Linked DNA regions of Diceros bicornis minor. The protein of the gene in region 2 binds, or shares a complex with, the protein of the main gene of each other region. Links are inferred from orthologs where the notes say so. Each region holds a gene or a part of one and is shown on either strand. Other genes may lie near its edges. The genes, in order: NPPA and NPR1.

Region 1 (14,507 bases), on a different chromosome or scaffold from region 2:
CTCCTCGCCCTAGATCGTGGGGATCATCACACGACACAACCTGACCGACGAGTTTCTGCAGGCCCGGCTGCGGCAGCACTACCAGACCATGTGATGGCTCGGCCTCGCTGCCCCTCCATGGGCCGGCCCTCTCTCCCAGAGCTGCCTGGGGAGGCAGCTCGCTCATGGTCCGCCGTCACAGCTGCCTGGGGCTGTCCAGGGGCGTGGAAGATTCCCGGTTACCCACTCGCTCGGAAAGCCTACAATCATCACACACTTTGCTGGTCAGAGATCCCAAGGATGGTTCTGAACCATCAGAACTTGGACTGGTCTGACTTTCCCAGCAAGTATCTTCCTGGTTCCTGTTCCCTGCATTCCTGCCATCAGTTTGGGCACAGACCTCAGTCCCTTCCACCCTGCTAGCGCCAGGACCAGAGGGGGAAGGCAGGCCTCGCCCACTGGGGGGACACCCAGAGCAGGTTTCCTGCCCCCTCTTTGCTGCTTTCCTAGGGAGCCCAGCTGTTGCCTTAAACCATTATGGGAGGGACTTTGGCAAGGCAAACACTGTGGGGAGACCAGTTGCAAAAATAAGTGAATCACTAAATTTAGGAATTGGGCACTGAGGAAATGGTCCATGTTTCAGGGAGGCCTTCCATCGTTGGGTCTTAACTCGTCATCTTCAACAGTTCATTTTCGAGAATGTTCTGCTTCCTGGGTGTGAGCTAGCGCTCTGCTCTTGCCCCTGGGGTTTGAATCTCCTTAGAATCACCACCCTCCAGAAGCACAAAGCATTAAAATTCCACTAATAATCTGTGAACGATAAGTCTGACAGTAGGGTCAGATTTGCATCTGCTTTCACTTTTAACATTCAGCTTTCTCTCCGTTTCCCAAATTATTCATGGTCTCCTAGTGACACATTTGTACCGTGATCCATCCCTGGTCCTTTTCATCTCTATGAATGACTAAACTTTCCTTAAGTTCTTACCTCGTCTTCCTGGTGAAGCTGCCACAGCCCAGAGGGTCTCAGTGTCCATCCCCGCCCCCTGCCCAAGTTAACTGCAAACAGGGCACCGCCAGATAACACTGCTTCGCTTAGCTCTGGGGAACGGTGCAGCTATTGATAAGGTAGAAAGGAGTGAGTCCTGAGCGGTGACCACTCACAGGTACGTAATGTGGCCTGAGAAGCAGTGTCACAGTAAAGCAGAGGGTTATTCAAGGAAGAGGCGTCTGGCCTTCACAAAGGTCTCTCAGTCACCTGCTGCCAGCCGTCCCCAGCCTGCTGAGGGCTCAGAAATGGAAACTTCAGCAGGGTCTGCTCTGCTGCCAGGGGCTGGGGTGGGGAGGGGCGCCTGCCAGCACCTGCCCTGAGGTTTCAGCATTAAACCTAGGAGGCCTCCCTCTGTCTTTCAGTGACTTAGTTTCTCCCAGGCTGGTTGGTCCTCTCTGAACAGCACCCAGCGAACATTCGGGCGTCAGGCACGGGCCCTGACTTTCCCTTTACTTCTGTGCTCTCTGCTTTATCAGCACCTTAGGCCCGTCGGCCAGCCCTGGGGCAGATGTGCTTTGGGACTCAAGATGGCCTTCATTTGCGTTTAGTGGGTTTTTTAATCATGGAAGTCGCCTGAGGGTGTCTCTGCCTGGCCCTGGCAGCCCTCTTCTTCCCCCCTCAGCCCCCACTGACTTCGCTTGCCAAGACTGCCTTTCAGCCTGGGGGGGCGGTCAGTCCCGGCTTCGCCAGCTTCCGTCTTGTGCTCAGCACTCTGTTCCTCTTAAGTGAGGGCTGCGTCAGCATCTTTCCCAACTGACTGTGGCCCCTCCATTCTTCCCATTGTCTTCTCTTTTTGACCAAAAGTACTTTGACTTCTAAATGTTTCAGCTTCCCTGGATGCGCTTGACTTGTGAAATGTGGATGAAACTCCCAATAAATAGTTCAGGAAATCACGAGGACCAACAAGGCAAGCCTTCCTGAATGTGATTGCCTTCAGCCAGCTGCCGCTTTATTTTAAGGCAGCATTCAGAGCTTGGCTACACAAATTCTTCCTTTTTCTAAGAAGGAAACCAATTGCCCAAGTCAGGACAATGGAGTGACTGCCGGTCACAGAAGTTGAATCCCCTCTCCCCACCCTCACTGAAATTGGCAGAACTCAAGTTCTGCAGGAGGACCTCTGGCCTCCAGGGCCCTCGAGGCCTCCCGGGTGAATGTCATTGGAATTCACCCCTCGTGCTTGTTGAGTTTAAGTCAACAGATATTTTGTTCCCATCGGTGTAGCTCAGAGACAGATGGTAGAATGCAAATGCTTCCCTCCACCTGACCTGACTGGATGGCCACCAAGGATGACCCAAACCCAGGCCCCCTGGAAAGGCGCGTTGTTTCCTGTCCTCTGTTGGCATCTGCCGTTTCTGGAGAAGCCCGAGGACAGCCACTGCTCCCGTTGTAACAGAATAACCGTAAGCCTCGCTCCTCTGATTTCTGATAGGTAGAAACCCAAATGTTCACCATCTTGCCTATTACCGGCCCCATCACCTCCCAGTGATACGGCACCTCAATAAACAAAAACCCACGGAGGGGGTCGGGGTGGGCTAGAGGCGGCTCTCTGTGTTTCGTCTCCAGCTGGGTGGTTTGTGTTCCCCAGCAAGGGTGACCAGAGGTGGGGCGAGAGTCCCTCCAGACTGCAGGGCCTTTGCGCCCCGGGGGGTGGTGTGCTCCTGACCTTGTTTAGCTAACGGTTTTGCTGGAATGGACTCTTGCTTGCTTGAACCCAGCTGACCATACAACATTTCTGATGCAAAATTGCGCACTGACGCGGCCCTCGGAGACGAGAGCCCCGGGGAGGTGGGAAGCGCTCTCATGGGCCTGCAGTATTGATGTGCAGTGTTGCCCCACAGCTCCGTGGACCTCAGTCGTTTCAACAGTAGCAGCTTCCTTTTTTCCCTTTGCACTGTTTGTTTATACAGTAATGTTAGCTAATTCCACTGTGTATATAAATTGTATTTTTTTTAATTTGTAAAATTCTATTTTTATTTGAACTTTTGGAACTTGGAAGTTCTCATTGTAACCATAACATGTCAGAATAAAATGTCCTCATCTGTCTTCTTGAGTCTCTTGTCTCCACGGTGCTCTTTCTTTAGAGTGGTGCTTGGTGTTTATTTTGTTCCCTCTGTTTCTAATATGTAAAAATTGCAAATCCAGAAAGTGGTTTTATAGTCTCAGATCTCTCCTTTTACAGCTCTCCCAGCAGGACTTCTCCTTCACAGGGGCCCACTTACTACCTTTGTAATGAGAATCAGTGTAGTGCTGTGGATCTGAGCAAAAGGCACAAGGTTACCACTCTTGTCTTTCTCCCTTGAGATTAACAGTTAGATCTTTACTGATCCTTTGCTCCTATAAAAACCTACCTGGTCCTTCCAGCTGCTGCTTCCCATCTGCAGCACTAGAGGGAGAATCCATTTGTATGCCTGGCAGTGTGTTGTTTAGGAATTTGCCCCATCAGCAGAGTCCCCTCATATCCAACTGGAAGAAGTGAAACCGGTGCTGAGTCTGTGGACGTTCAGACGGGGGGCTGGCTTCCATCGGTGGGGTTCAGGCCCCTCCCCCTGACCCCAAGTCGTCCCCAAGTTCCAGGGGCATTTTCTGTGTATTTGGCACTCTCAGTTGATGCCATTCAGTGAGGACCCACTCTGTGACGGTGACACAGCTGACCGCTCTTCCCCTTCTAGCAACGGCCACTCGCCCAGTGCCGGGCCTCAGGAGCCAGGTTGGGACAGGCACTTCTTCTTGTCCCTCCACCCATGTCCTGGTTAGCCCCTCTCTGGTTCTTGATTTTCCACCCTTCTGTGTTCCGCATCCACATAGGAACACGTTCACTGGCGTGGTTAGATTAGAGTCTTTGCCCACGTCTGCTCCCCAACCATCAAGTCACTTCTGGCCTCCACTTCCCTCTGCAAGGAGCAAACTGCTATGTTACTACCACTTTTTCCAAGTTTTGTACGAGACCAAGACAATTTGACTGACAATATATAGAGCATCAACTGTGCCACGTGCTGAAGGGGCATTTTCCCTCAAGGAGCTTGCAATCTAGGGACACAAACACAACTGCATACCAAGGCAAATTGTGTCTTAATAGTAACATACAGAATGCTGCTGGTAAAGAGCTTAATATGCACTGGGCACGAGGTATCAGGGAAGGCTTCAGGGAAGAAGTGGCATTCTCAATGAACCTTGAGGAATAAGAATGTTCTGGGTAGCACTGGCTAAAGGACATTCTAGGTGGAAGGAACAACATAAAGACATGGAAAAGTGAGCTGGTGGGTGGGGGGCTGGTGGAGGAGCACCACAGAGGCTGATGGGGAGAGTGAGGTGTGTGGGGTGGGAAGACAGGTCAGAGTACTGCTCCCTGTTGTGGGTGAACTCAGTGCCCGGTGTTTTCTGCTTAGGGCAGCACCCTTCTCAGAAGATGGTAGAAAGAGACCGAGTCTCCTCCAGTGGCTCTCACAGCAGTAAAATCTACAAGTCAGGAAGCTTGGACCTGAATTAGAAAAAGCTGATGGCTCTTTTTTAAACATATGTTAGTGCCCCAAAGGCACATAAACTTGCAGTCTGTCAGCATAGCAAACATTTCTGTCTTCACTTTGCTCAGCTTTAATGCTCTGCCTCATCTTCTTAAAAGTAAAGTGCAGGTCGCTCTGTTGCAGCAGCTAACTCTCTCAAAATGTGTCAGAAAATTTTTAGTGTCCTCATTTTAAAAGTTGCTTCTAAAAATAAAAATAAAAACTGTAGCCAAAAGTACTAGCTGTGCAAAAATTGTCTATTGAGTACAAGCTACATTAGATATAACCAGAAAAAAAAAAAGATGTCTGTAAGTTTTCTTTTTAATAAATAAGTGCCTTGAATGTGAGCAAATCTGAATAAAAATAAGTGCCCTTTTGGTCTCCTGGGGCTTTTTCAGGATCTGTGATGAAGCTGGAGCGAGAGTCAGAGCAGGCAGAGAACTGCAGTGTGAGCCCCACCCCATCCCACCCCCGCAAAAAAAGGAGGAAAGAATGAGAGGAGGAAGAATCTGTCCAAGCCCACAGAATGTACAGCACCAAGAGTGAACCCCTATGTGAGGTATGGACTTTGGGTGATGACGATGTGTCAATGCAGGTTCATAGACTGTAACAAATGTGCCATCTAGTGGGGATGTTGATAGTGGGGGAGGTTGGGCATGTGTTGGGGGCAGGGAGTATATGAGAAATCTATGTACTTTCTGCTTAATTTTGCTATGAACCTAAAGCTTCTCCAAAAAATAAATTTTATTGTTTTTAAGAAGGAGGAAGAAAGAAACTGAACATTCTTCTCTGGGACAAAAGGTAAAATGAAAATCATGCTGAATTCTCTTTCCCGGGAAGCGAAACAAATCACTCCAACCCGAGCCTTCGGCTTCTGTCCGTGGTGCTGAAGTTTATTCATTTCTCAAATGGCTTCCAGTTAACGGGTGAGGGTCTGCCCTAAAATTTAATGCATAGGGTGGGAGAAGTGGGGAAGCCACAATTAAGCCACTTTACCTACATTTAGCATAAAATGTGAGAAATGTGGACAGAAGGCTGCAGCTTGAATAGGGTGCTCGTCACAACTCAGCTTGAGGGCAATGAGATGAGACAAAGTTGAGTGAGAGACCCCGGGGGATGAGGGTCTCTCGCAGTCTGCCCGGGGCCTGGCCCGCCTTGTCCTCCCTGGCCGTTATCTTCGGTACTACAAAGAGAACACAGACATGTTTGACTTGGTGACCTGGCTCTACTGGAAACATCAACTTCGTAGGACTGTGGTCACTTCCCATAGACCCCACTCCAGCCTGAAAACTCCCTGAGTTTCATGAACTGGTACACAAGTTGCTCATTAGGAGCTCAAAGGTCATCCCTGGTCAATTTCAATCCTTTGGGATCTGACAAATTTGGAATCTGGAGAGGAACATGAACTGCCAATCAGCAGTGCGAAGGCAACTTGCCCCATGAACATTTAAAGTGCCCAGTGCTCGTGGCATAACTTTTTTTCTTAGCATTTCCTCAGCAGCCTGTAGCTGAGGATGATGTCATTGTCCCAAGATTCATGGGGCACCCACCAAGTTGGCGCAGAAATTTCAAAGGGAGTAAGCTTCTATGCTGGTCCCTTCCGGCAGAAGGCGTCCCCTGGTGGTATACTTTGACAAGGTTTGAGCCTCAACAAAACCACAACTTCCTAACTTCCTTCCTCCCCATCCCATTTCCATCCCCGGCTCCTCTTACCCGGAAGCTGTTGCAGCCCAGTCCACTCTGGGCTCCAATCCTGTCCATCCTGCCCCCGAAGCAGCTGGACCTCCGCAGGCTCCGAGGGGCAGCGAGCAGTGCCCTCAGCTTGCTTTTCAGGAGGGCAGATCTATCAGAGGAGTCCCAGGGGCCCCGCCCGAGGGCACCCCCATCTCTCTGGGCTGGGTTGACCTCCCCGGTCCAGGGAGGCACCTCAGCAAGGGGGCTGAGAGCAGCCCCACCTTCCTCACTCTGCTCACTTAGTACTTGTGGGGGCATGACCTCATCTTCTAAGGGCATCTTGTCCTCCAAACGGTCCAGCAAATTCTTTACAAAAGGAAAACACAGGGAAAGGGAGAGGTCTCACCCACGGGCACAATGTCACAGAGCCCCCTGGTCCCAGAGTGTGCCCTCTTTCCCAGCCCTACCTTGAAATCCATCAGGTCTGCGTTGGACACAGAGCCATACACGGGGTTAGCTCTGGTTTGCCCCGGGAGCTGAAATGCCAGGAAGAGAAGGAAGCTTGTGGTGATGGTGGGGAAGGAGCCCATGCTGGTCACAGAGTGGTCTGGTGCTCGCCGCCTCTTCCCTCTCCTCCCTGGTTTCCCTCTCTCGGCCTTCGTCCGTCTCTGTCTCCCAGCTGCCCTGCGCCTCCTCTTTTTATAGGCCCCCGGCTCTCCGAGAACGCAAGAGGGATGGAACCCTCCCCATTCTGTCACTTGCAGCGATAAAGCAGCTGAGTGAGGAGCCAGCAGAAGATGCCCTTTTAAAGTTATCAGTCCAGCGGAGCTTGTCACAGCCCCTCCGCCTTGAGCAGCCCCAACAACCCCCGGGACCCTCGGCTGCAAGAGCCACATTCTTGTTGATTTGCCTCAAGAGGTTCCCACTTCAAAGGTGTGAGAAGAGCAAAAAAGAGTCCTTGGTTATCTCACAGCGATGCCTCGGGCTCCTTTCTCCTCGGCAACGGGACTCATGCCGGGAAGCAGAGGGTGACAGTTGGCGGGCACCCAGCTCCCCCGGTTGGTTTGTGGCTCAGCTGTCAGGGCCTCCAAATAAGGGCGGGAGAAGAGGAAATGGCAGGCAGCCGGCAGCTCGGGACAAATTAGTCCAGATGCTCTAGCCGGCCTCACACCTGACTCATCAGCGGCGAGGGCAGCCCTCTCGCTCCACCAGGGCTGGCCTTCTGGCAGTCACTCTCCGCAGTCAGGTGAAGAGGGCGTTATGTTTTAGAGTACTAAGTCAGCCGGGAACCAAATGTGATGAATGACCCAGGAATTTGGCTCCCAAATTTCAACACCAAGGAAAGTTTTGGGAACACAATCATTCCTCTGCAAAGCTCCTCCTCCTTCGACCCCTCCACGACCCCCCTCCAAGGTGCTGAGGGAGGTAGACACTGAGAGGATGCAGCATTTTCGTTTCTTCAACTTGCTGCTTATAGAAACTCAGACTCTTTGAGTATGAAGCTTGTAATTCCCCTGCCCTTTCCTGGAAAGCTCCCATGGCCAGTTGGCTGATGGAGTGAGGTGGGAGGCGAATGTAACACAGTTTCCCTTAACGCCTCCATTTTCCTGGCCCCCAAAAGAGAAATAACAGGCAGTGAGGCCACATTTAATGAGTGGCCTCCATTCGCTAAGCACATACTCAACCCTAGCATGCTACTCAACAGAGCGTATGCTGGGGGAAAACACTAAATTTGAAGGGATGAGAGACCTGCATTGTAGCCCAAAACAAACCAAGCTGCATATGTCTTTGGGCCTTATTTTCCTCATCTGTAAAATGAGGAAAGTGAAAAAACCTAAGGTTATCCTGAGGCTCAGAAGTAATGTGTGGATGCATTTTGAAGTGTGAAGTGCTGTGTAACTGCGAGATGGTAATCGCGCTTGCCTGTATTGGTCAGCTGTGACGTGCCAGACACTGAGCTGAGAGCTTCATGTGGTTACTTCATTTTTGTCACCACCCCCAGGAGCTGGTGGTCTTGTTGCCATTTACAGAGGGACAGGACTGAGACTGAGAGCTTTGTCACTTACCCAAGGTCACTCAGCTCATAAGCGGCAGAACCAGGACTTGCACCCAGGTATGACACCAATACACACAGTCCTCACCCATTTCACAGACACTGCTGCTGCGTAGCGCGATGGTCTCTTAACAAGCCCTCTGGCAGTCCCTGATTGAACACACCCCCATTCCCAGTCTCTCAGGGTGACTCTGAGCAGCTCCTTCTCCTGCCCCCTGCCTCGGGGCTGCAACTTCGTGTACTTGGCAGGTCTGTGTGCGTGTGGAACATCCATCTCCGCCCCTGCCAGACCCCTCCCTAGCTGAGCTGACTCCCTGGCTGATCAGGTGGAAAGGCTGTTATACGGCAAGAGGGCAGGAAACCAGGGCAGAACGTGGCCAGAGGTCACAAGAGGTGTCCAGGGCAATTTTATTCTAAGAAGGAGAAAGAAGCCCTCTTCAGTCACTGATTTGGGTCAGCCAAACTCAACTTGAAATCCAAGGTGGGTGCAATTCTGGGTAGCGCTCCCGGGGCAAAAAACCATCGTATCCTGACGAATCCCTGGAATGTGCTCACAGCTTAATTGCTCGGTTGGCAGGGTTATTATTAGCAAAGAGGATTCAGTGAGCAGCCACGCTGCGGGGAACCGATGCTCCTTGCTGCTTGCGTCACACAGCCTGTCTCCTGGAGATGCCCTTTGAGACTGGCCTTTGATGCAGGCGAAGACTTCCAGAAGGGTATCGTGGCGGGTGGCCCCTGCCTTGGCTTGGCCTCTGAGGGCCGATGCTGCTCCTCTGTCCTGAGCTACTTCTGAAGTCTGTAGGTGGCCTGAGGAGAAGCGGAAGTCCCGCCCCAGGTTCCAGAAAGGGACTTTCAGAATTTGCCCACCTCCTTTTATTAAAGTCACTTTTCCTCTTCTAGAGTGAAACCGGAGTGGGCCGTGAGTGTCATTTGTTGAGTTTCTTCTATTAGCTGGGGTTTTTTTCGTTTTCCGTTTTTTGTTTTGCAGAAGGGCGGTGACAAGAAAAAAGAACATTCAGGTTTGCTGCTGAGGACTTTGTGAAGAACCAGCACCACCTCCTGCACTAACTGGACCCAGTGAAAACACAGACAACCCCCAAATACACTTGTTACCCCAAATCCCAGTAAAGCCTTTGATTTGAGCCTGAAATGGAAAATGGCTTGATGTAAAGTTTCTCTTCATTTCCAAGCCCCTGCTCAACTTTGGGGTGTGTGTGTGGAGGAGTTAATATTTAAAGGGGTGTTTAGAAGCCAGCCTGTAGGAGTGAGAGAGAAGAAAAGCAAAAGACGCAGGAAGCCAGATCCGCCCCCACCCCCACCTCTCCCACCAGATGAAAAACCAAAAGCCTTTCTTTCCGTATCGCTGGGAAGAAGTCATCTTAGTCGTGTGATGGAATGAGCGTTGCAGATGGGTGGATGAATCCAGAACTGGGGTGTCTCCAGTTTCTAGCCCACTTTGGTTTCACAACCCTCCATGGGGATGCTGGGGGCTGCTTTGGGGAACCACAAGGTCCCAGCAATGTTGCACATGTGCAGAACTGGTGTGAAAAGCTCACCATGTTCATGGCACAATCTGTCACACCCAGATGGTCTAAAGCAGAAGCCCCAGTTGGGAGAAACTGGTAGGACACTGGTGTGTACTTAGGGACTGTTGTTTCTGACTTTGAAAATGATGTTGTGTTTCTTTGGTACAATATGGAGATCACTGGACTGGAAGTCAGGGGCTGGTTCCCTAGAAAAAAAGCCTGAGGAAAAGTCAAGTTGCTAAAGCTTTATGGGGGCTCCAGTTCAAGGGAAGCAAGAGTGATGGAAAAAGGAAGTGAGATAGTGTATTAGTTAACTATTGCTGCATAACAAGTTGCCCCAAACCTCAGCAACTTAAAACAACACACATCTATTATCTAGTAGTTTCTGTGACCAGGAATCTGGCCCTGCTTGGCCGGGTGCCCCTTGCTCAGGGCTCTCAGAGGCTGCCATTCAGGTGTTGTCTGGGGCTGCGGTCATCTCAAGGCTTAGCTGGGGGATCTGCTTTCAAGCTCACTCCTGTGTCCGTTGACAAGCCTTGGGTCCTCGCTGACTGTTGGCTGGAGATGTCAGTTCCTTTCCACAAGGGCCTCTCCATAGAGATGCAACTGACTTCCTTTAGGTAGAGAGAGAGAGAGAGATTATGTAAACCACAGTCTCTTTGGAGCCTCATCTTGGAAGTGGTATCCCCTCATTTTTGTTGTACTGTGTTCATTAGAAGTGAGTCACTGGATCCAGCCCACACCCAGAGGGTGGAGATTACCCAAGGGCATGAATACCAGGAGATGGGGATTATCAGGGGCCATCTGAGAGGCTGCCCACCACAGGTGGGGAAAGAGGAGAGCTGATACAAAGTGATACGTTACCAAGCCGGCCACAGCTTTGCAAAAACACCTTAGTGGTTGGTTGGTCACGCTGCACATCTCCAGAGAGCTTCCTGGAACCTGGCACCCTGGAACAGCCTGTGAGGAGAGAAAAAGATGAGGGAACTGCCTTAGATCTCTAGGGATGCTGTAACAAAGTACCACAAACTGGAGGGCTTAAAACAACAGAGATGTATCGTTTCACAGTTCTGGAGGCTGGAAGTCTGAAATCAAGGTGTCACAAGGCCATGCTCCCTCTGAAATCTGTGAGGGAGAATCCTCGCTTGCCTCCTCCAGCTTCCGGTAGCCGCCGGCGGTCCTTGGCATCCCCCGACTGGCAGAGGCATCACTCCAACCTCTGCCTCTGTCGTCACCTGGCTGTCTTTCCACTCTGTGTTTCTTTCTCCTCTTCTTATAAGGACACCAGTCATATTGGATTAGGGGCTAACTCTACTCCGGGATGACCTCATCTTAAATAATCACATCTATAATGACCCTGTTTCCAAATAAGGTCACATTCTGAGGCTCTGGATGTTTAGGACTTCAACACGTCTTTTAGGGGAACATAACTGAACTTGTAACAAGCGCTGCATCTGTAGGCTCCTTTTCACCGCTTGTCTCTCACTAGTCAAAGCGTCGCTTTCACCCTCACCCCACTCCTACCAGGGCCGTGAGCTCCCCTGCACTTCTGGGCTGTGCTACCCAGTTCCTTCAGGCAGTGGCCGAGGAAACTGGAGACTGCTGTCCAGTGCACCCATGAAACCCGTGCATTGGCTTCGCAATCTCTCCTGGCCAGTCGATCCTGCTTGGCGAGGGGAGGGGGAGAGTCAGGGGTGGGGGGTGGTATATGGAGGTGGAGACGGGGCCAGATAGCAGCCATGAGAACCAGGTCAGCCATTGTTAAGGCCGCATTTTCCAGGAAGCCAGAGGTGCAGGCCAAGCAGGTATGAGGCACCCCAGCATACCCCAGCACCTAGCACAGAGCTGGCACATACTGATTCTTTGGAAAATATTTTCCGAATGATTGAATCAATGAGTTTGCCGTCAGTGCCTCTCCCACCACCCCACCACTACACATACGTGAGTGTCCGCCCTGCACCTTGCCCTCCCTGGTGCAGAAAGAGCCAGACCAGGGAGCCCGGTGGGGAGAGGCCAGTTAGGAAGCCAGTGCGTCAATGTCGGCATGAGTGGTGAGGCTCGAAGCCAGGAATGGAAGTGAAGGATTGTGTGCAGCAGGTGCTGGGAAGGAAGGAGGAGTGGATACGGTGCCAGCCTGGGTGGTCCAGCCAGAGAACCGAGTCCAAGAAGATTCCAAGCACTCTAATCATCGAGGGTGGGGCCCTGGGGGAAGGTTTAATCCTTTGGGCGTGTCTTTGTTTGGGTTCTCCTGAAGCTGAGACGAGGATTCAAGTACAAGGCAGCTTGTTTTGGAGACAATCCCAGGAAACATTGGCAGGAGAGTGAGAAAGTGACCAGGGAAAGAAGGAAGTCAGTGACCACCACGGACAACTGGAGCTTAATCTCCCCCGGCCCCCCACAGAGAACTCTGGGAACCAGTGTAAGAGGCACGCCACCTGTGAATCGAGGGTGCTGGGGTCTTTAAATGCCGATTCCTGCTAGATGTTGGTTGAGTGCTCCTCCTGGTTGACGCCAGTTCCCCAGCACTTCCTGCCTGCCCCAAGGGGAGCCAAGTGGGCTCCAGCTGCCAGAGAGAGTCCTTGGACAGGAAAGTGCGGTGCTGCTGGATGGAAGTAGAGCTGGCGTGCCCTGAAGCGGCGAGGGCAGGGGCTGTGCTCGGCAGTGCCAGAGACAGGAGAGCTTGGGGCACGAGAGTGGGAGCAAGTGTCCCAGGGCAGGTACCGAGTTTGGTTTTAGAAATGCTCCAGGACATCCAGGCAGCTGTATGGGGCTGTCTCCTGACCCCACGGGAAACACAAGTTACTTAGTGGAATAGCACTGATTATTAAAACTAAGGCAGTGCATAAAAATCCCACAGAGGGGCTGGCCCGGTGGTGCAAGCAGTTAAGCGCTCGCGCTCCGCTGTGGCGGCCCGGGGTTTGCCGGTTCAGATCCCAGGGGTGCACCGACACACCACTTGTCAAGCCATGTTGTGGCAGGAGTCCCATATAAAGTAGAGGAAGGTGGGCATGGATGTTAGCCCAAGGCCAGTCTTCCTCAGCAAAAAGAGGAGGATTGGCAGATGTTAGCTGAGGGCCGATCTTCCTCACAAAAAAAAAAGAATAGAAAAAATCCCACAGAGACAGTAGGGGCTGGCCCAGTGGCGTAGTGGTTAACTTCGCGTGCTCTGCTTCGGCAGCCCAGGGTTCACGGGTTCAGATCTCGGACGTGGACCTACGCACGGCTCATCAAGCCATGTTGTGGCGGCAACCCACATACAAAATAGAGGCAGACTGGCACAGATGTTAGCTCAGAGACAATCTTCCTCACCAAAAAAAGAAAAAGAAAAAAAAATCCTGGAGAGATTGGGATAGAAGGCTGAGAACTACAATATGAACAAATGACCAAGTTCATGATTTTGTTTACACCTGCCTCTGTGGCAAGAGAAATGAATTTTTTTTCTTGCCACAAATCATCCTCAGAAGGGTCAAAGCTGCCGCAAGAGGGAGGGAGAGGGGCTCAGCATTCCGTGGGAATGTCCCAGGTGCAGAATCGGTGACAGGAGATGAAGCATTCAGGCCCAGCGCTGTCCTGACTTCTGTAACCTCAACACTTGAGACCGAGCAAAGGCAGCCCACCCTCTCCTGAAATTCCTCCCAGCTCTGCAGCCGTGGCCAGACCTCCGGGGTCTGTGTTCACTCACGTGTCCTTCTGGGAAGATTACAGTGACGAGTATCCACAGAGATATATAATCTGGCAGCTTTGTTTTGGGATGAGGTTGACCATAGGGAAGTCGGGGAGGTTAAGGCCGTGGCTACAGCTGTGTGGGGAGTGTTTGAAGGGGCCAGGGTCACAGGTCACAGAGGGCTGGTTTTAAAGGGCATCCATAGACAGTGCACCTGCTGCCATGCTGCCACAAACACCAAACACAGGGGGAGGTCAGTGAGATGTCATTCCATTGGGTCCATCAGGCCACCCACTCCCCATCCTCCAGCAGTCACATCTGGTTCCTTTGCAGTTCACTCTGGGGTTCTCTTCCCTGGACATTTGCTTGGGGAAAAGGCCCAAGTAACAGGATGTATCAAATGTACAGACTCCCCCACCTGAGCCCTGTTCATGGCTGAGCCAGGCTCACCTGTAGGAATTCTGAAGTCCTGGCTGGATTGGGGGAGTGGGCGTTCTGAAAGGGGTCTGTCTTCATCACCCGAGCAGAGGAGAAACGTTGCCAACAGACAGTGGCACCAAATGTTGAACTGAGTGATGCCCTTAGGAGGGGAATCTTCCATCCCACCAGCAAGCCTAATTTACCGACTTGAGAGAGGCCAGGTGGTGTAGTAGTTAGGGGCCTGGGTGCTGCAGCCAGGCTGTGTGGGCTTGAATCCTGACTCTGCTACTTACTAACTGCGTGACCCTGAGCAAGTTACATCTCCTCTCTGTGCCTCGGTTTCCCCATCTGGAAAATGGGAGGTAATAAGAGTTCTTACTTCATAGCGTTGTTGTGAGGGGAGGGGGGCCCATAGAGGAGCGGGCAGTGACCTCTGCCAGGACTCCCTGCTGATCAAGGCAACACAGCAGGATTCTGGTGGTTGTCTCCTTTTCTGCCTTAGAATGAGGGGCAGAGAGGAGGTGGAGATGTGGGGCCCCAGGGAGGGGCACCCTCAAATGCTGGGCCTTTTGTCAGACACTTCTAAACTCGTGGGCTCAGGAAATGAAAATGCTATTAAACTCGGAGTTTCAAAGGCTCTTTT
Region 2 (15,583 bases):
GTCCGCTCCTCCACCAGCTCCTCCAGGTTGTTGGCATACTGCTCCATGCGGGACAGCAGGTTGTCCAGGATGTTGCTGCTGTTCTCCCTGGGGCAGGGGATGGTGGCAGGGGGGTGGGGGGGGTGGTGAGAGAGGAGCAGCATGCCCTACTCTGAATGCCACCCCGGGCACGCACCCTACTCAGGCTTCATATCAGCCCACCCCCAACTGCTGTGGCGTCCCTGGAGAGGGTCAGGGTTGGGAGGCACAGCAGGATGGGGTGGCAGGGGAAAAGGGAGGGAGGAAAGTTCAATTCATCTCTGAGACCCCAGGGTCAAGTATGAAGCTTCAGACGTACCGGCTGTTTTGTTCATCTTTGCTGAACACAGTGAGTTAGAAGGAGGTTGAGGAGGTGAAAGGGACAGGGATCAATTGAGAACAGAGTGAGAGCACACAGGCTGGCAGAGGTGTGTCTGGAGGAACTGGGCCCCAGTGGGGACCCTGAGAAAGGGAGATCAAATGGCTGGGGTTGAGCCCCTGCAGAGGGAATGGGGGCCATAGGGGAGGAGGTGGGAGGCCAGGGGCGCGTGGCTCATTTACTCTACACACCACTGAAGATGAGAGGCTGGTCCGGGGGCTGAGCAGGAAGGATGTGGAGTGGCGAAGTTGGTGGAGGAGAGGGGTATGAGAGGTAGGACTGGGGGCTGTGAGGCTGTGGTGGGCTGAAGTAGGCTAAGTAAGGGGGCTGTGAGGGGGCTCCCTCTGCCACTGCAGGGATAAGACTTAAGTGTGGAGTATGTGGTGGCTGTGGGGGACAGGGGAGGCTGGGGGGATCCTCAACTAACGCCAGCGACCTGTTAAACTTGCGCAGCATCAGGCGGATCTGCTGGAAGGGTGGCCGCTCCTGCGGGTCCTCAGCCCAGCACCTCTGCATCAGCTGCCCCAGTTCCTCCAGGTGACTCTGCAGGGCCAGGGAGGGCCGGAAGGGGGGCTGCTCACCCCGAGTCACACGCTCGATGATCTCTGTGTGATGAGGGGAGAGGGGCTGTGGGGTGGGGGCAGCCATGGGCCTGTTGGGGGGTGGGTGGGGAAGTCCAGGACCAGGGCATGGGGCAGGGGAGCCCCGCAGGAACCTGGGCCAGTCATGCGTCATGGTCACTGGCAGCAGTAGAGCAAAGGATGGTGGCTGAGCATTCCAGAAGGAAGGTGTGGTGGTGTTTCTAGGGGTCCCTCTCTCTGGGGCTGGGGTTAGTTGAATGTGGCGGGGCTAGGGGACAGCATGGTCCTCTCACCTTTGGGGCTGAGGTTCAAACCTTCCACATGGAAGACGCCACTCCTCAGGGCAATCTCCTGAAGGATGATCCCAAAGCTGTACACGTCACCAGCCTGGGAGCCCTGGGCAGGGGGCGAGGCCATTCTCAGGAGCTCAGGGGCTGTCCATAATTTTTCTGCGCGTCAGAGGTCAGGAGTCACAGGGTGAAGAGCCGCAAAGTAAGGGGTGAGGGGAAACAAGGTCCTAGAGGATGTGGCTGGGAGTGATCTGGAGACATCACGCAAGTGCTAGAGCTAAAAGAGGCCTTGAGATCACTTGGTCTGGCTCCCTTTTCTACTGATGAATGAACTGAGCCAAGAGTCAGGTGTGTCCAAGCCCATCAGAGGCCAGGCATCAGTCTCCCTACTGGGCTGTGCTGGGGCCGGTGTTAGGGGTCAGAGTCGGGTCTGGGCTCACTGGCATAGAGGGTGTGTCCTTGCTCAGTCTCCAGGTCCCTGAAGCTCTCCAGCCCGTAGTCGGTGATCTTGAGCACAAAGCGCCCGTCTACCACGCAGTTGGATGACTTGAGGTTCCCATGGGAGCAAATGGCTCCATTGTGTAGGAACAGCATACCCTGGGAAATTTGGGGAGGCAGGGGTCTTGGCTCTGGGTGGGACCTACAGCCAAGGCAGGAGGAGAAGCATGTCTGGCCCCTCCCCGCCACATCCACTGGGCTCTCTGGGCCTACCTTGACGATGTCATTGGTGAGAGAGTACCGGAACATCCAGTCTAGGGTGATGCTCTCATTCTCCAGAATGTCCTGCTGGGGCAGTAAGAGTCAGACCTGTACCCTGCAGACTTCCCCAGGAGGACTAGTGCAGGGGTCCTACTGACAGAAAGTGCACAACAGGACAAAGCTCTGGATTTTCTCCAGTGCCACTGCCCTCCCCCCACTCCCATTTTACAGATGGGGCAAAAAAAGGTCAGAAAGGGGGAGAGGCTTCCCTGGGGTCATATGGCCAGTCAGGAGCAGAGCCAGGGTTAGACCCAGATTTCCTGACAACTTCTTGTCCCCTCACCTGCAGGCTCCCACGGGGACAGTACTCTGTGAGGATACAGATGTTGGGGGGGTCGGTGCAGGCACCCACAAACCTGGTCAGGTGTTCGTTCTGCACATCCCGCATCTGCAGATGGAAGCCAACATCAGGAGCCTGACAGAGCCCTCACTCCTCACCAAGTTGCCCCCCTCCTCAGGGACCCTCCCCCACTCTTCTTAACTCCCTATTCATTCTCTATAGACATTCCAGGACATTCCCTGGTGATTCCCACCCATGTCCTTAGCGCACCTTCCCCCAGAATCTGCTCCCTACTCCCTCTGTCTCCTAAGCTCTCCACCACCAGGGGCATCAAGTATGGCCCCTCGAGAACTTCCTCCAGGATCTCCGCTAGTCCCTTCCCCCATCTATGATCCCCTGCTCCTACCCACAATACGCAAGGACCCATCCCATGGCTACCATCCCCGCTCTTTCCTAGGATACCCTGAGGTCCCCCCATAACCAGTTCTGTTGGCCAACCTCCCCTTGTCCCCCTGCCACCCTTCCCCAGGCCACTGCCTCCTCCCCGACATTACATGCTTCAGTTCAAATAGGACTTTTCGTGTCAGCTCAATACGTTTACGGTTCACGCGTTTCACAGCCACAAGGTTGCCCTGGGCAAGGAATGGAGACTGTGAGGAGATGGCCTGGTGCTCTGGGAACTCCAACTGCTCCTGACAGCCCACCCCCGCCCCTGTGACCCTCCCCATCCTCGTCAGAGCAGAGCCCGGCCCCAGTGCCGAGGACCAGCCGTCTTTTCCCAGGCCCACCTTATAATACGCTGTCTTGGCAAAGACTTGGAACTGGCCTTCTGTGGTTAGCAGGGAGCCATAATTGGAGCCTCTCTGAAGGGATGGAGAGCAGGAGAGATGGTCAGCCTGTGGGCCCCACCATGGGCCTAGGTCTCCATCCTGGTTGCTTGAGCTCTGGTCTTCACTTCCCTGCCTTATCTTTGTGTCACTCTGCTTCTCATTCTATCATGAAATCCTGTCCTCATTTACCTTTTTTTTTTTTAATGCATTTTCACATATAGTATTTTTGACCTTTGGAAGAGCCCTGTGAGGAGGCTCAGCGGATGTAATCATTATCTGAGGGAGTCTCAGAGGTCTACCAAGGTCACACAGCCAGTGAAGGTGGCTCTCTCCCCTACCCATCAGGTACTGGTCCCCACCCCCATGCCCAGCTCTCCCCCATTCCCCTCAACACCAGTGTTCTTACCCCACTCAAGGTCAGCCGGCTGCCTGCACTCCGGAGGTGCCTCTCAAGGCTACTGGGCTGCACATCTTCCCAGCGCACCCGCCACAGCTCTGAGGCCAGTTCCTTTTCCAGCTGCATCTTCCTGGGGCATGAAACCTGCATCTGAGCCCATGTCTGAGCCCCCGACTCAGAGCAGGGGTGCTCTGCTCCATAGCCCCTTCTCAGAACACTGGGACCACTGCTTATGCTAAGAGGTAGATGGGGAATTGCGTCCTCTGGGCTGAGAGTCAGGAGGCTTGGATCAAATTTTGCCTCACTGGGGACCTTGGGGTAGTCAGTTCATTTCTCTGAGTCTCATGTCCTAAAGTCCAAATGTCCTCATTTGGAAATCGGGGACCTTGATATTTATTTCAAAGCATTGTTGTGAGAATGAAAAGAAATATCGTGTGTGAAGTGCACATAGTTTTTCTCCCTCCCTTCTTGCCTCCCTCTATTGTAACTTCTCCTGCACTTTCCTTTCAGCCTCCCACTGGAGGGGGGCTCCTTTATCTCTCTCCTCCGTTCCTGGTTCCACCTGGTACACTCAGGGCTCACCATCCCTGCTCCACTAATATGTGCCCAATCCCAAAGGGTTTGAATCACTGCTTCCCATCCGGTCTGCACCGGTAGGAGGGAGGGTAAAGGGCCCGCAGGCCAGAATCCGCGCCCCTGTGATGTCACTCCCCCAACTGCTTGGCTCCTTCTGGGATCCCCCACACCCTCTCTGTCCACTCCTGTCCTTGTTCCCTCCTCCTTCTCTCTTCCTTGTGTCCTAAGGCTTTTTAGTCTCTTTTCTCCCCCATCTCCCTCAGCCTTCTGCTGCACCTTCACCCCTTTCTCCTTCCCTCTGGGTCCCTGCCACCTCCTCTGCTATTGGTTCTCCTGGTCTGCCAACCTCACTCACCATCCTCATCCCAAGGCTCACCTGTATATGAAAAAGGAGACGATCAGAATGCTGAGCAGGGAGAGGCTGCCCACCAAAGCCAGCACCTCCAGGGTGGAAAAGTGGTCTGCAGGAGAGAGTCCAAGTTGTAGCAAGAGAGATTTTGGTTAGACAGCAGGAGGAAGAACCTTCTAATAGTCAATCAGTGAACTAGGATGATGGACGAAGGGAAGAGAAAGGCAGGAGGAGTCCCTCCAGAAAACTCTTGTGTGGGAGAGGAGCACCTGTCTGACTCCCTGAGGTGGGAGGATGTAGCATCTCCAGAATGGAGGCCTGGATGGCAAGGGGCAGTCACCTTGGTTGCAGGCTGGGTCCTCATTGTCAAAGCCGCATTTGGGGATGTCAGGAGGTGGGTACCCGAGGGGCCAGTTCAGTTTGCGCCCTGACACGGCCACCAGCTCTTGGGAAGTCCCATTGTAGTTCAGAACAACCTATGGAAGGGCAGGAGTGGTGGGCAGGCAAGGCATGGGGTGAGGCCCACTGCCTGTCCAGTGGGGCAGTCCTGCCTCCCACCTACCCCATCTCTTCTTCCAGGGCCTATATCTGGGCTGTCAGCTATTTACAAGCCCCTCTGTGAGTGGGTACAGAGAGCCCTCATACCCATGCCCACATTATCAGAGTGGAAAGACTTGGAAACTACTCAGGGGTTTTATAAAGAAAACTCCATATAGAACCCCAGCCCTACACACAGGGAGTTTGTAATCTTGGGTTGAAGTACATAGAAAACAGGAAAAGGCAGTCTCCTCAGTCCACATTCCCAGGCCTAATCCATGTACCCCTCCTCCAAGAAGCCTTCCCTGGATGATCTGCTCCTTGGCGCCTGTGGCCTCAATCCCTTCCTGTTCCTGATGTACTTATAGAGCTGTATGATGTGTATTCATCTTGGCCCTGAGTTGGCCTGTCTCTGCTGGGCAGGGGTCCTGCCTACTTAGAAGATGTGGGACTTGCTGAGGGCAGGGCTGTGCTCCCTCCTCAGACATGGGGTTCCCCAAGGGTAATGCCTGTGAGTCCTTGTAATTCTGGTTGCTCCCCCAGACTGGAGCTGGGTCTCTTTTATCTAGGGCTTTCTGAAAGTGACCAAGCATGGTAAGGTGACTACAGAGTAGACAGATGCCCTGGCAGGGCTGTTGGGGAGGTAGGAGGGCAAGATGTCATTCCCAGTTGGCACTGTCTTCTGGGGGCGCGACCTTACCCTGAAGGCGCCAGTCTCAGGATCCATATCCCAGAGGGAGAAGTCGGTCTCTCGATCTCCATTGCTGTCCATTTTCAGGTATCCCATCACACCTGGGGGCATGGAGGAAGACAACTGTGTTTTGAGAGAGTGAAAGTTCAGGGACCCCCCACCACCACCTCATCTCCCTCCTGGATCTTCTCTGCCTTGCCCTCCAAACATATGCATGTGGAATAATAGTAAAGGGACAGACATTTCAGCAACAGCAATGATTGGGGTTAGGCACTTAGGAGGACTCCTTGATAGAACTATGGAGAAAGACGGGGAAGGAGGACCTAAGGGAAAATGTAGGGGTTCCTTACAGAAGAGAGGAAGAGCCTGGCAACTACCCGTGCTGCAGGGCTAGAAGCTTCTCATGGCCTCCTGCTTGGGGCACCCCAAGGCAGCCCATTCCTTCCACCTCCAGGACCTGACCTTGGAAGCTTCTGTTCCACATCCTCTGAGTGATGCCTTCCCCATCGGTGACAGTTCCCCCGTGAGCCAGAGTCTCTGTCACTGCCTGGACATAGAGGAGGAGCCCATCGTGGAAGGACGCTGGGATGGTGTTCACCTGCAGGGGCAAGCAGAGCTTGGCCGGGGGCTGGTATGAAGGGCACAGAGTGGGGTGCTGTGGGGGAGGAAATGGGAGGCACTGGGAGCTTGGAGAGGATGGGAGAAAACACCCCACAGGACAGAGAGATTTTACTACTTATACGATGCCTCCGCATATACCACTGCTTCTGAATCCTGCTAGGCAGCTAGGGCAGGACATATCATCCTCACTTTACTGAAGAGGATGTGAGTTTCAGAGGTTGAACAATTTGTCAGTGTCCCCCTCCATCATCAGGGGAGATATAGGAACAGTGGGACAGGAAAGGTGAGACCTGGGAATACTGGGCTGGCTGAGAGAACGGGGTGGAAACTGGTAGAGGGCCATGGGGTGGGGGCTAAAGGTCCACACTGGAGGGTCCCAGGACTCCCTCCTACCAGACCATCCTCCAGGGTGAAGTTGAACTGCTCGTGGACCAAGTGTTTTAGCTTCTGCAGGAATTCCAAGTACTCAGGATTATCTGGCTCTTTATATGTAATGATTTTGGCAGCCTGAGGAAGGGGTCAGTGGAGAAGGGAGAGCTGGGGGCTGACCCCAGTCCTCCCAGTACCCTGGGGCCCACCTCCCAGAGCTGCATCTCTGCTTAGCTCAAGGTCAAACTGGACCCTATGTCCTGTGTGAGGTGCTGCCTGCACCAAAGCAGGGGATCAATGGGATGGCTTCTCCAAGTCCCGTTAGTCTGCGGGACTTGAACACCCTCCCACCTCAAGCCCATTCTCTCATCTTTTTAGCCTCCTGGCTCTGAAGTCCTCTGGCCCTCTGGGCCCTGGCCCCAGACCCTGCCCTGCATTATCTAACTTTCTGTGAGCATCAAGAACCTCTTTTCTGGAATCCTTTCAGACACTGAGGGACCCAGTGCCCAGAAAGTATGTGCCACCAGCTCAGAGTCCCACAGCCTAGGTTTCCAACCTGGACACTCACCTGAAAGGCCTGGTAGGCACTGACATCCTGCCCATCCCCTCTCTCCCAGGGCCTGCGCAGAGCAAGGCCATGTGCACCTTGCAGGCTTTGCCCAAAGAGGTCCAGGTGGAAGAAAACGTAGTCCTCCCCACTCAGGCCAGCTTCCAGGGCCAGGAGCATCAGGGTTCTGAAGGCATCTGGGGAACTGCAGATGTAGATCACTGGGGAGGAAGCGGGGGTCAGAGAGAGAGAAGCCTAGGTCCTGGGGGAGTGAGAAGGGGGCACTCCTTGGGTAGGGCAGCTGGGGCGCCCAGGGTGGGGGGGTGGGGGTGGGGCAGTTCAGAGACCCTGTGGTAGTTACCTGGAACTCAGGCTCAGTCTAGGCTGTGGCTGGAGAAATACGAAGAGTGGGAGGAGGAGGGGGAAGGAGCAGAGATAGGGAGAGTGGGAATAGTGGAGCTGAAGGTGGGCAAGGTGGGGTCAGGAGGGGAGGAGAGGGAAGGAGGGGCCAGCTGAAGAGGGGACTGGAAGAGTAGAGGGCGTGTGGGAGCAATGGGAGGAGAAGATAGAGGAGAGGAGAAGGCTGTTGGGAAGCGACAGAAAATGGGGGAGAAAAATAGGGATGGGAACTAAGCCAGGGACCTAGTAAGTGTCGGGATGGCAGCAAGCATTTTCTCCCTCCTGTTAACTCCGGAGGAACCGGTGGGAAGGAGGTGAGGGAGTGGGGCAGGTGAGAAGAGAGGAGCGCGTAGGAAGGAGAAGGGACGGAGGATGGAGAAGGAGAAGGAAATGGAAACTCCGAGGCAGAAAGGGCGGAGGAGGCTGAGACCGGAATGAGGTGCCTCGAGGCGAAAGAAGACTGGCCGGGAGAAGAAAGAGAAGACAGAGGACGGTCCGGAGCCTCTGATGGGTTACAGAGAAGGCCCCGGGGCAGAGCGGCGGGAGCCCGGGTGCCGGCCTCTTACCTCGGCCTTTGCGCCGCACGGTCCGCAGCAGCATGGTGTAGTGGTCGTGGTCGCCCTCGGCGAACTCCAGGTGGTCCACCGTGATGTTGAGGCGGTCGCGGACCCGCATGTACAGTCCCTCCACTACGAAGAAGCAGGGCTGGTCATCGCCCGGCCGGTAGGCGTAGAGCACGAGCGCCTGGCGCTCCCAGCCCAGCCGTCGGTGCAGCGCCGCCACGAAGTCGCCCAGTTTGGCGTGGCTGGGCCCCGCGCGGGTGGTCAGCGCGTACTCGTCCTTGGCCCCGAAGCCCAGCGCCGGGGCGCCGGCAGTCAGCAGCGGCACCCGCCAGTGCGCGGTGAAGCGCCCCACTGGGGCAGCGGCGTACACGCAGCCGGGGCCCAGGAACACCGCGGGGTTGTGCTCCCACTTGAGGTCCACCGCGGCCAGGGGCGCGGCGGTGTCGGAGCAGACGCCCAGTGCGTTCTCGCTGCTGCCCAGCACCGTGCGGACTGTCCAGCCGGGCAGCAAGTCGGGCCGCGCCTTCACCCCGGCCAGCGCCAGCTCCACCGCTGGTCCCACGCGCGCCCACGACCACGGGTACGAGGTGTTGGCCAGCGGCAGCACCACGGCCACCGTCAGGTTGCCCGCGTGGCTGCCTGGGAGCAGCAGCAGCGGTGGCAGGAGCAGGAACAGCCTCAGGCGGGCGCCGGCGGGGCGCCCGGGGCGCTGCATGGCCTCAGCGGGCACCGCGGCGGGCGAGGGCTCCCACCATGGCCTCCTCGGTCCCCTCCGGCTCAGCGGCCCGTCCCGGGCATCGGGCGCGCCCCTGTGGGAGGGAGGAGGAGCGGGGCGGGGGCGCTCACCCCGGTGCACGCTGCCCTTCTAGCTGCGAAGGTCAGGGCCAGGAGCGCAAGGGGCGCGCGGCGGGCGGGCGTACCCGAGGCTGGACACGCGACGGAGGGGTGCACGGAGGGCACTGCGGAGCAGGTGGGCGCGAGAAGGAGAACGCCGGAGCCGAGAGGACCCTAGCGTGAGCGACAGCGTGTGTGTGTGTGTGTGTGTGTGTGTGTGTGTGTGCGCGTGCGTGTGTCAGAAGTGGAGAGAAAAAGAGAGCGCGAGCGAGCGCTTCGGGGAGAAGGATGGGAGAGGGCTCGATGGAGGGAAAGGGGAGTGTGAGTGTTTGTGTGCGTGCGTGAGCGCCTGCCCCAGGGAGTGTGCCAGAAGGGGCGTCCGGCCGGCCCAAGTCTCCAGCTGTCCGGGGGGGACTGGAGAGGACCTGAGCCAAGCTCCGAACCCTCCCTCCCGCCCGCTTCCCCTCCCAGACTCAGTGACAGAGGAGCCAATCCTGGATCTTTAACTCATTCCTCCCCGCACCTAAATTGCGGGCATTCCCGCGCCCCCCAGCCCGCGCGCTTTCCCCATAAACCGTCTTCCCGCTTCTCGGCGGCCCAGCGTCTTCCTCCCTGGAGAAGCGGCACCCGTAGGAGGGGCTCCCTCGCGGGGATGGGAAGAAGGGCTGGATAGCGATGTGTGTGGGAGCATCCAGGGGCTTCTTGCGCCCCACCTTGTCTCTCCCCTCCTACCTGGTTCCGTCTGGGGAACAGAAAAAGATGTGCTGGTTTGGGATCCTGGCAGGAAAAAGTGTGAGTGTGTGGATGTGTGTGTCTGGGGGTGGGGCGGGAGGGTAATGGTTTCTGAAAAAGGCGTTAAAGTAGGTGAGCCCGGAGTCCCCGTGACCCAGTCCACCTAGGACCCACTCCCTCCCCACTCCAGCTTCCAGATTGAGCGGATTAGCGGAGAAAAAGGACCAGGTGTAAGGGCGGAATTAACTCTTTAGTTCCAAATGCTTGTAGGAAGTGGGAGGGAGAGCGTGTAGGTGGCTGTAGGGGGGAAGAGGAGTGACCTCAGGGCCACTCCTGGATTGTGATTGTGTGTTTGTTTTGTGTTGAGGAGGATTGTTAAAATGCGGTTTGTGGTGGTGGTGGGAGATGGTGTTGGAAACGACCAGCGGAGGCGTAAATTGGGGAGAGGGTTTTGGAGCACTTGACGGCTGGTCCGCTGGGCCGGACCCCTGTGGAATCAGTCTGCCCTCTAATGGTCAGAGGGAATCATTGACAGTGTTGTGCGGCCAACTCCAACCTGCGCGTAGCGGAACGAAGATCAGTCAACTTCTGTTCAACAAACAGTCAGTATAATTCCTGCATCTCTCCATGTACAATCAGCTGGAAGTATCCATTATCTCCTTGAGATGAGTCCAGTTCACCACAGTTCCTATCCACCCTGTTCACTCACTTGCATTACTGGCTACAGTAGTTTATGTTTTCAACTCCCATCTAGGATGTCAGGTGTGTGCACGTAGGAATGATTGAGGAGGAGAGGCAAGGAAGTGCAGCAGAGGGCAGATCATGCAAGCTTTTGTGTGACAGGCATAATGTCTTTGTCCTGTAAGGGGGGCTCCAGAGGCTATAGATGTATATAGGAGATTGGGAGACTAAAAAACAGTTTTATTGAGGTATAATTGATATACCATAAACTGTACATATTTAATGTCTACAATTTGATGAATTTGGATATATGCTTATACCCATGAAACCATCACCACAATATCAAGGTAATAAATATATCCATCACCCCCAGAAGTTTCCTTGTGTCCTTTTGTGTATATGTTGTGTGTGTGCTAAGAACACTTAACATGGGATCTACCCTCAACAAATTTTTTAATGCATAGTACAGTATTGTTGACTATAGGGAGATGTTTTGGAAGTAAAATCATTTGGACTTCAGGAAGAGAGACAGTATACAAGTAACTGAAGTCTAGGTGACATTGACCCATTGGTTGAGAAGCTGAAGAAGCAAATTTTGGGGGGATGATAATTTTAGTTTAGATGGTTTGAGGCACCTGTAGATACCCAAGTGGAGGTGTCCAATAGGCCATTGGATTAGTGGAGTTGGAGCTCAGGAGAAACTAGACTAGAAATCGAATTTAGTAGTTGAGCTCCTCTTTCAACAATGGTGGACTAAATAATTTGTCCAATCCTCAAGCTGAAGACATCTAAAAATGTTGGATGAAATACTTTAAAAAATCAAAGAACTAATAAGACTGAGAAATTATTGGTGTGAGAGCATGAAAGGACAGGAAAGCAGAGAGATGAGACAGCAGTAGGACTGCTTTTACCCTGGGGTCATTTGCTGATCCGAATTGGTGGCAGAAAATAGGCTGTGTGGTGCAAATGAGACAAAAATTGGAATCCAAACTTCCCCAAAGATGAGAACCTGGTTTGGGCCGGCCCCGTGGCTTAGCGGTTGGGCGCGCGTGCTCCGCTACTGGTGGTCCGGGTATGGTCTGGGCGCGCACCGAAGCACTGCTTCTCGGGCCATGCTGAGGCCACATTCCACATACAGCAACTAGAAGGATGTGCAACTATGACATACAACTAACTACTGGGGCTTTGGGGAAGAAAAAAAGGAGGAAGATTGGCAATAGATGTTAGCTCAGAGCTGGTCTTCCTCAGCAAAAAGAGGAGGATTAGCATGGATGTAAGCTCAGGGCTGATCTCCCTCACCAAAAAAAAAAAAAAAAAGATGAAAACCTGGTAAACTGCCTTCCTGTTTTTCATTAGAATCCTGAAAGGCTGCACTCCTAGAAACCTAGGAGTAGGGTAAATCAGAAGTAAATAGAACATGAGGACCCAAAACATTCAAAACCAAAATTAAGAACCAATCGATGGGTTTAACAGCAAGTTAGACTTGACTTAGGAGCAAGTAATGAATTGGAAGAAAGGACAGAAGACACTACCCAGAATGAAACATGAATAAAAAGGAGTGAAAAACATAAAAGAGAGGGTTAGGGTCATGGAGGATACTGTGAGAAAGTCTGACACACATTTATTTAGAGCCCAGGAAGGAGGAAAATAAAAGACTAGAAGCAATATTTGAAGAGACAATAACTGAGAAACTTTAAAAATAGATGAAATACATCAAGCCACAGATTCAGGAAGTTCAACAAACCAAGTAAGATTTTAAAAAAAATCCATATCTGGACCCATCAGAGTGAAATCACAGGAAATTAAATCAAAGATGAAATCTTTAAAATAGTAAAAAGAGGATTGATTACCTTCAAAGGAGCAACCATTAGATTGCTAGAGAACTTTTTTTTTCAGAGCAAAAATGGAAGCCATAGAAAGTGAAATAATATTGTAAACGTGCTGAAAGAGAATAACTTCCAATCTAGAATTCCATATCTGGAGAAAATGTCCTTCAAAAACAAAGGTGAAATAAAGAGGTATTCAGACAAACTGAAATGGAGAAAGTTAGCCACCAGCAGAGGGGCACGAATTCTCAAGCAGAAGGAATATTATTCCAGATGAATGGTTGGACGTGCAGGAAGAAATAAAGAACATTAAAAATTGTGAATGTAGGGGGCCCGCCCCGTGGGGTAGTGGTTAAGTGTGCGCACTCTGCTGCTGGCGGCTGGGTTTGGATCCCTGGTGCGCAGGGATGCACGCTTGTCGAGCCATGCTGTGGAGGCGTCCCATATAAAGTAGAGGAAGAAGGGCCGGATGTTAGCTCAGGGCTGGTCTTCCTCAGCAAAAAGAGCAGGATTGGCATGGATGTTAGCTCAGGGCTGATCTTCCTCACACACACACACACACACACACACACACAGATTGTAAATCTAAATGACCACTAATTTAGGTAATAAGCATTAATGTCTTGTGAGATTGAAAGTATTTACAGAATTTAAATTCTGTACACGTATACAGCTACGCCTACCCAAGAGAAATGAGTGCATCTCACCACAAGAATCTTGTACAAAACTGTTCCTAGCAGGTTTATTCATAATGGCACCAAACTGGAAACAACCCAAATGTTTTCTGTGTGTCTCAGCCAGTTGGAGGTCCTGAGTTCATCAACAGGAGAATGGATAAACAAACTGTGGTATATTTATGCAATAGAATGCTACTCATAAATAAAAAGGAACAAATTGCTGATGAATGCAAGAACATGTGAGAATCTTGAAACGTGTCAAGCAAAAGAAGCTAGATAAAAAAGAGTACATACAGTGTGAGTCCATTTGTGTGACATTCAAGAACAGACAAAACTAATCTATGATAATGGAAACTAGAATAGTGATTGCCTTGGGGGCAGGGCAAAGGGGTATGAGCTAAGTTTCTGAGGTGATAAAAATGTTCTTTATCTTAATCTGGGTGGTGGTTACACGGACAGAATACATTACTCAAAATTTATGGAGCTGTAGACTTAAAATCTGTGCATTTTGCTGTAGTAAATTATACATCAATAAAACACTTAAAAGAATTACACAACAGCAATAGTATATAATTCTGGAGGGAGTGACGGTGGTAAATGGAATTAAATTATTTCTGCATTTTCACCAGGAGGGTAAAAATGTTACCAAAAATTAGATTTTGCTAAGTCAAGGACGCATGTTGTAATTTTTAGAGTAACCTCTAGAAGAGTAGAAAAAGTGCGTAACTTCCAATTAACAGAGGCAGGGAAGGAATAATAAATATTAACCAATGCAAAAGAAGGCTAGAAGGAGAAGAAGGATTACAGAAGAAACGAAAAGCACATAGTAATATGATTGATTTAAATGCAAATACAGTATATCCGTATACGTGGCTGGTGAAACCTCATATAAGGGTAAAATACGCCAGAGAGTTTGTGGAGTGAGGAAAGAAGAGAAATTGGGGGGAAATCAGGCAATAATGGGTGGGCCGCGTCCTTCTTTCCTTGCCACTTCTTTTGCTCTCGTTTTCTGAGCTCTCTTTCTAAAGGCTGCCTCGGTTTCCCTTCTAGTCCGTCGCCATCAGTGTTTTCCCCCTCTGATTCCATCAATATACTTCCTCCTTTTCTCAAATCCGCTTCTCCTGCCTCGAGTTTCTAGCCTTCTGTGAACTACACCCAGACGTAGTGTTTATTGTTGTTTAAAGTCTCTTCCTATTCCCCTATTTCACATGCTGATGGCAAAAACAGCTTCTAAACGCTGCATTTTTGACGCAGGAAAAAGTAAAAGGAGGGCAGTTACCTTTACTGAGAAAATTTAAGTTGAGAAGAAAAAGCACACGCCTGTAGCAGAGGATGGTTTCGATCCATCGACCTCTGGGTTATGGGCCCAGCACGCTTCCGCTGCGCCACTCTGCTAGCTGGAGAGAAGGTGCCTCATGGTTTCTATAGAAAGTTTTTAGCGCGTTAGCCGTCCTGCCTTCTTTACACAGCGCCGTCTAGTGTCTGGTTGAATAAAAATGCTCATTTTTGTTAAGTCTGTTCTTATTGGCTAGATCCTGACACAGTCAGCATTTTGTATTGGTTCATAAGCCAGTTTGCCATTGTAGACCAATAGGCATAAGCGGCGGGGTAAGGCGGGAGCCAATCGCGCCGGAGTTTGTTGGGACACGCCGGCAAGCCGCCTCTCCATTTATCTCTTCCTCCGAGGAAAGGGGCGGTTGGTGTGGCCTCCATTGTTCGGGTTTTAGGGCGCCATGAGGTAAAGGCACTGGGGTGCTGTAGAATGGTGTCGGGTATTCGACCGAAAACTTTGGGAAGGTGGGCCGAAAGGAGTCGGAGGAGCTGAAAGGGCCACGTGTCTGGGGGCTGCCCTAACACCGAAAAGGCCTCGTCTGGGAGAGTAGGGGAGGTCGGAGGCTGCGGGGGCGGGGAAACTTGGGCCCGGGCTGGGGGTGGGGCGCAGGAGCGGGCAGGCGGTCGGCCCCTCGGTTTTGGAGGGGTCTGGATGAGGGGTGTCCTCGGGTCCCAGGAGAAGCACCCCCATCTAGGCTGGGAAGTCTGGAACGTGCCTCATTCATTCTATGCCAAGTGCTTGACATAGGAAATGCCCGCTAAATGTTTTACTACGTTAATAATAAATGAGCACTCACTTTAGTGCCTCAGGTATTAGGATTGGCGTCTTCCAGGGGTCATGGGGTATTTCTTGTAGGGGTTCAGTGTTTGAGCCCGTCATTATGTTTGGGTGGAGTTGTGACTAAATTATCCAGAATGAGGAGGTCCTGGGGGTGAGGCTGAGCATTTGGAATGGGGAGAAGCGTAGGTGGGAATGGGGTCTCTTGGCTTCCAAAGGGAAGTTCGGAGCGGTGGAGGCAGGCTAACTTGAAGTGATTTGACCGGTATGGTGGAGATGCCTTCAACAGGTCAAAACAGGTTAAAATCTATTTATGCATTTCTAGGGGTGACAGAGGCCGAGGTCGTGGTGGTCGCTTTGGTTCCAGAGGCGGCCCAGGAGGAGGGTGAGTGTCAGTTTTTAGCATCTCTGCACTGCTTAATTTACACTTCAGTCATCTAAATAGGAGTTTGGAGTGGACTGATGCTACCTGCTTTTGTGAGATCCAGCTGTGGTTTAGAAACGTTTCTTTTCATCCTCTCCTGCTAAATGAGTTTG

Evidence for each region.
Region 1: the proteins of NPR1 (region 2) and NPPA are in contact, whole or in part, in a crystal structure (PDB 7BRG), measured with the Rattus norvegicus proteins. The link is inferred for Diceros bicornis minor from reciprocal best matches to the Homo sapiens genes NPR1 and NPPA. Residues at the interface, in NP_036745.1 of Rattus norvegicus: Asp90, Val115, Tyr116, Ala119, Pro120, Arg123, Ala139, Leu140, Gly141, Ile142, Val144, Tyr148, Tyr182, Asp184, Leu186, Gly187, Asp188, Asp189, Arg190, Phe193, Phe194, Val196, Glu197, Tyr200, Met201, Arg204, His213, Gln214, Glu215, Phe216; in NP_036744.1 of Rattus norvegicus: Arg126, Ser127, Ser128, Cys129, Phe130, Gly131, Gly132, Arg133, Ile134, Asp135, Arg136, Ile137, Gly138, Ala139, Gln140, Ser141, Gly142, Leu143, Gly144, Cys145, Asn146, Ser147, Phe148, Arg149, Tyr150.

The regions. Positions count from the first base shown.
Region 1 is NC_080752.1:30,961,399-30,975,905, forward strand, and holds NPPA (natriuretic peptides A), read right to left. Parts: upstream 6,795-14,507; 5' UTR 6,792-6,794; coding exon 6,669-6,791; intron 6,568-6,668; coding exon 6,241-6,567; intron 5,711-6,240; coding exon 5,699-5,710; downstream 1-5,698. Other genes in the region: CLCN6 (H(+)/Cl(-) exchange transporter 6), read left to right, coding at 14-94.
Region 2 is NC_080743.1:57,901,416-57,916,998, reverse strand, and holds the start of NPR1 (atrial natriuretic peptide receptor 1), read right to left. Parts: upstream 9,212-15,583; 5' UTR 8,902-9,211; coding exon 8,190-8,901; intron 7,446-8,189; coding exon 7,246-7,445; intron 6,816-7,245; coding exon 6,702-6,815; intron 6,286-6,701; coding exon 6,150-6,285; intron 5,789-6,149; coding exon 5,697-5,788; intron 4,936-5,696; coding exon 4,800-4,935; intron 4,572-4,799; coding exon 4,487-4,571; intron 3,665-4,486; coding exon 3,544-3,664; intron 3,171-3,543; coding exon 3,096-3,170; intron 2,940-3,095; coding exon 2,862-2,939; intron 2,416-2,861; coding exon 2,311-2,415; intron 2,052-2,310; coding exon 1,980-2,051; intron 1,866-1,979; coding exon 1,709-1,865; intron 1,428-1,708; coding exon 1,272-1,427; intron 1,003-1,271; coding exon 834-1,002; intron 88-833; coding exon 1-87. Other genes in the region: ILF2 (interleukin enhancer-binding factor 2), read left to right, coding at 14,670-14,674, 15,372-15,431. UniProt on the Homo sapiens protein: Receptor for the atrial natriuretic peptide NPPA/ANP and the brain natriuretic peptide NPPB/BNP which are potent vasoactive hormones playing a key role in cardiovascular homeostasis.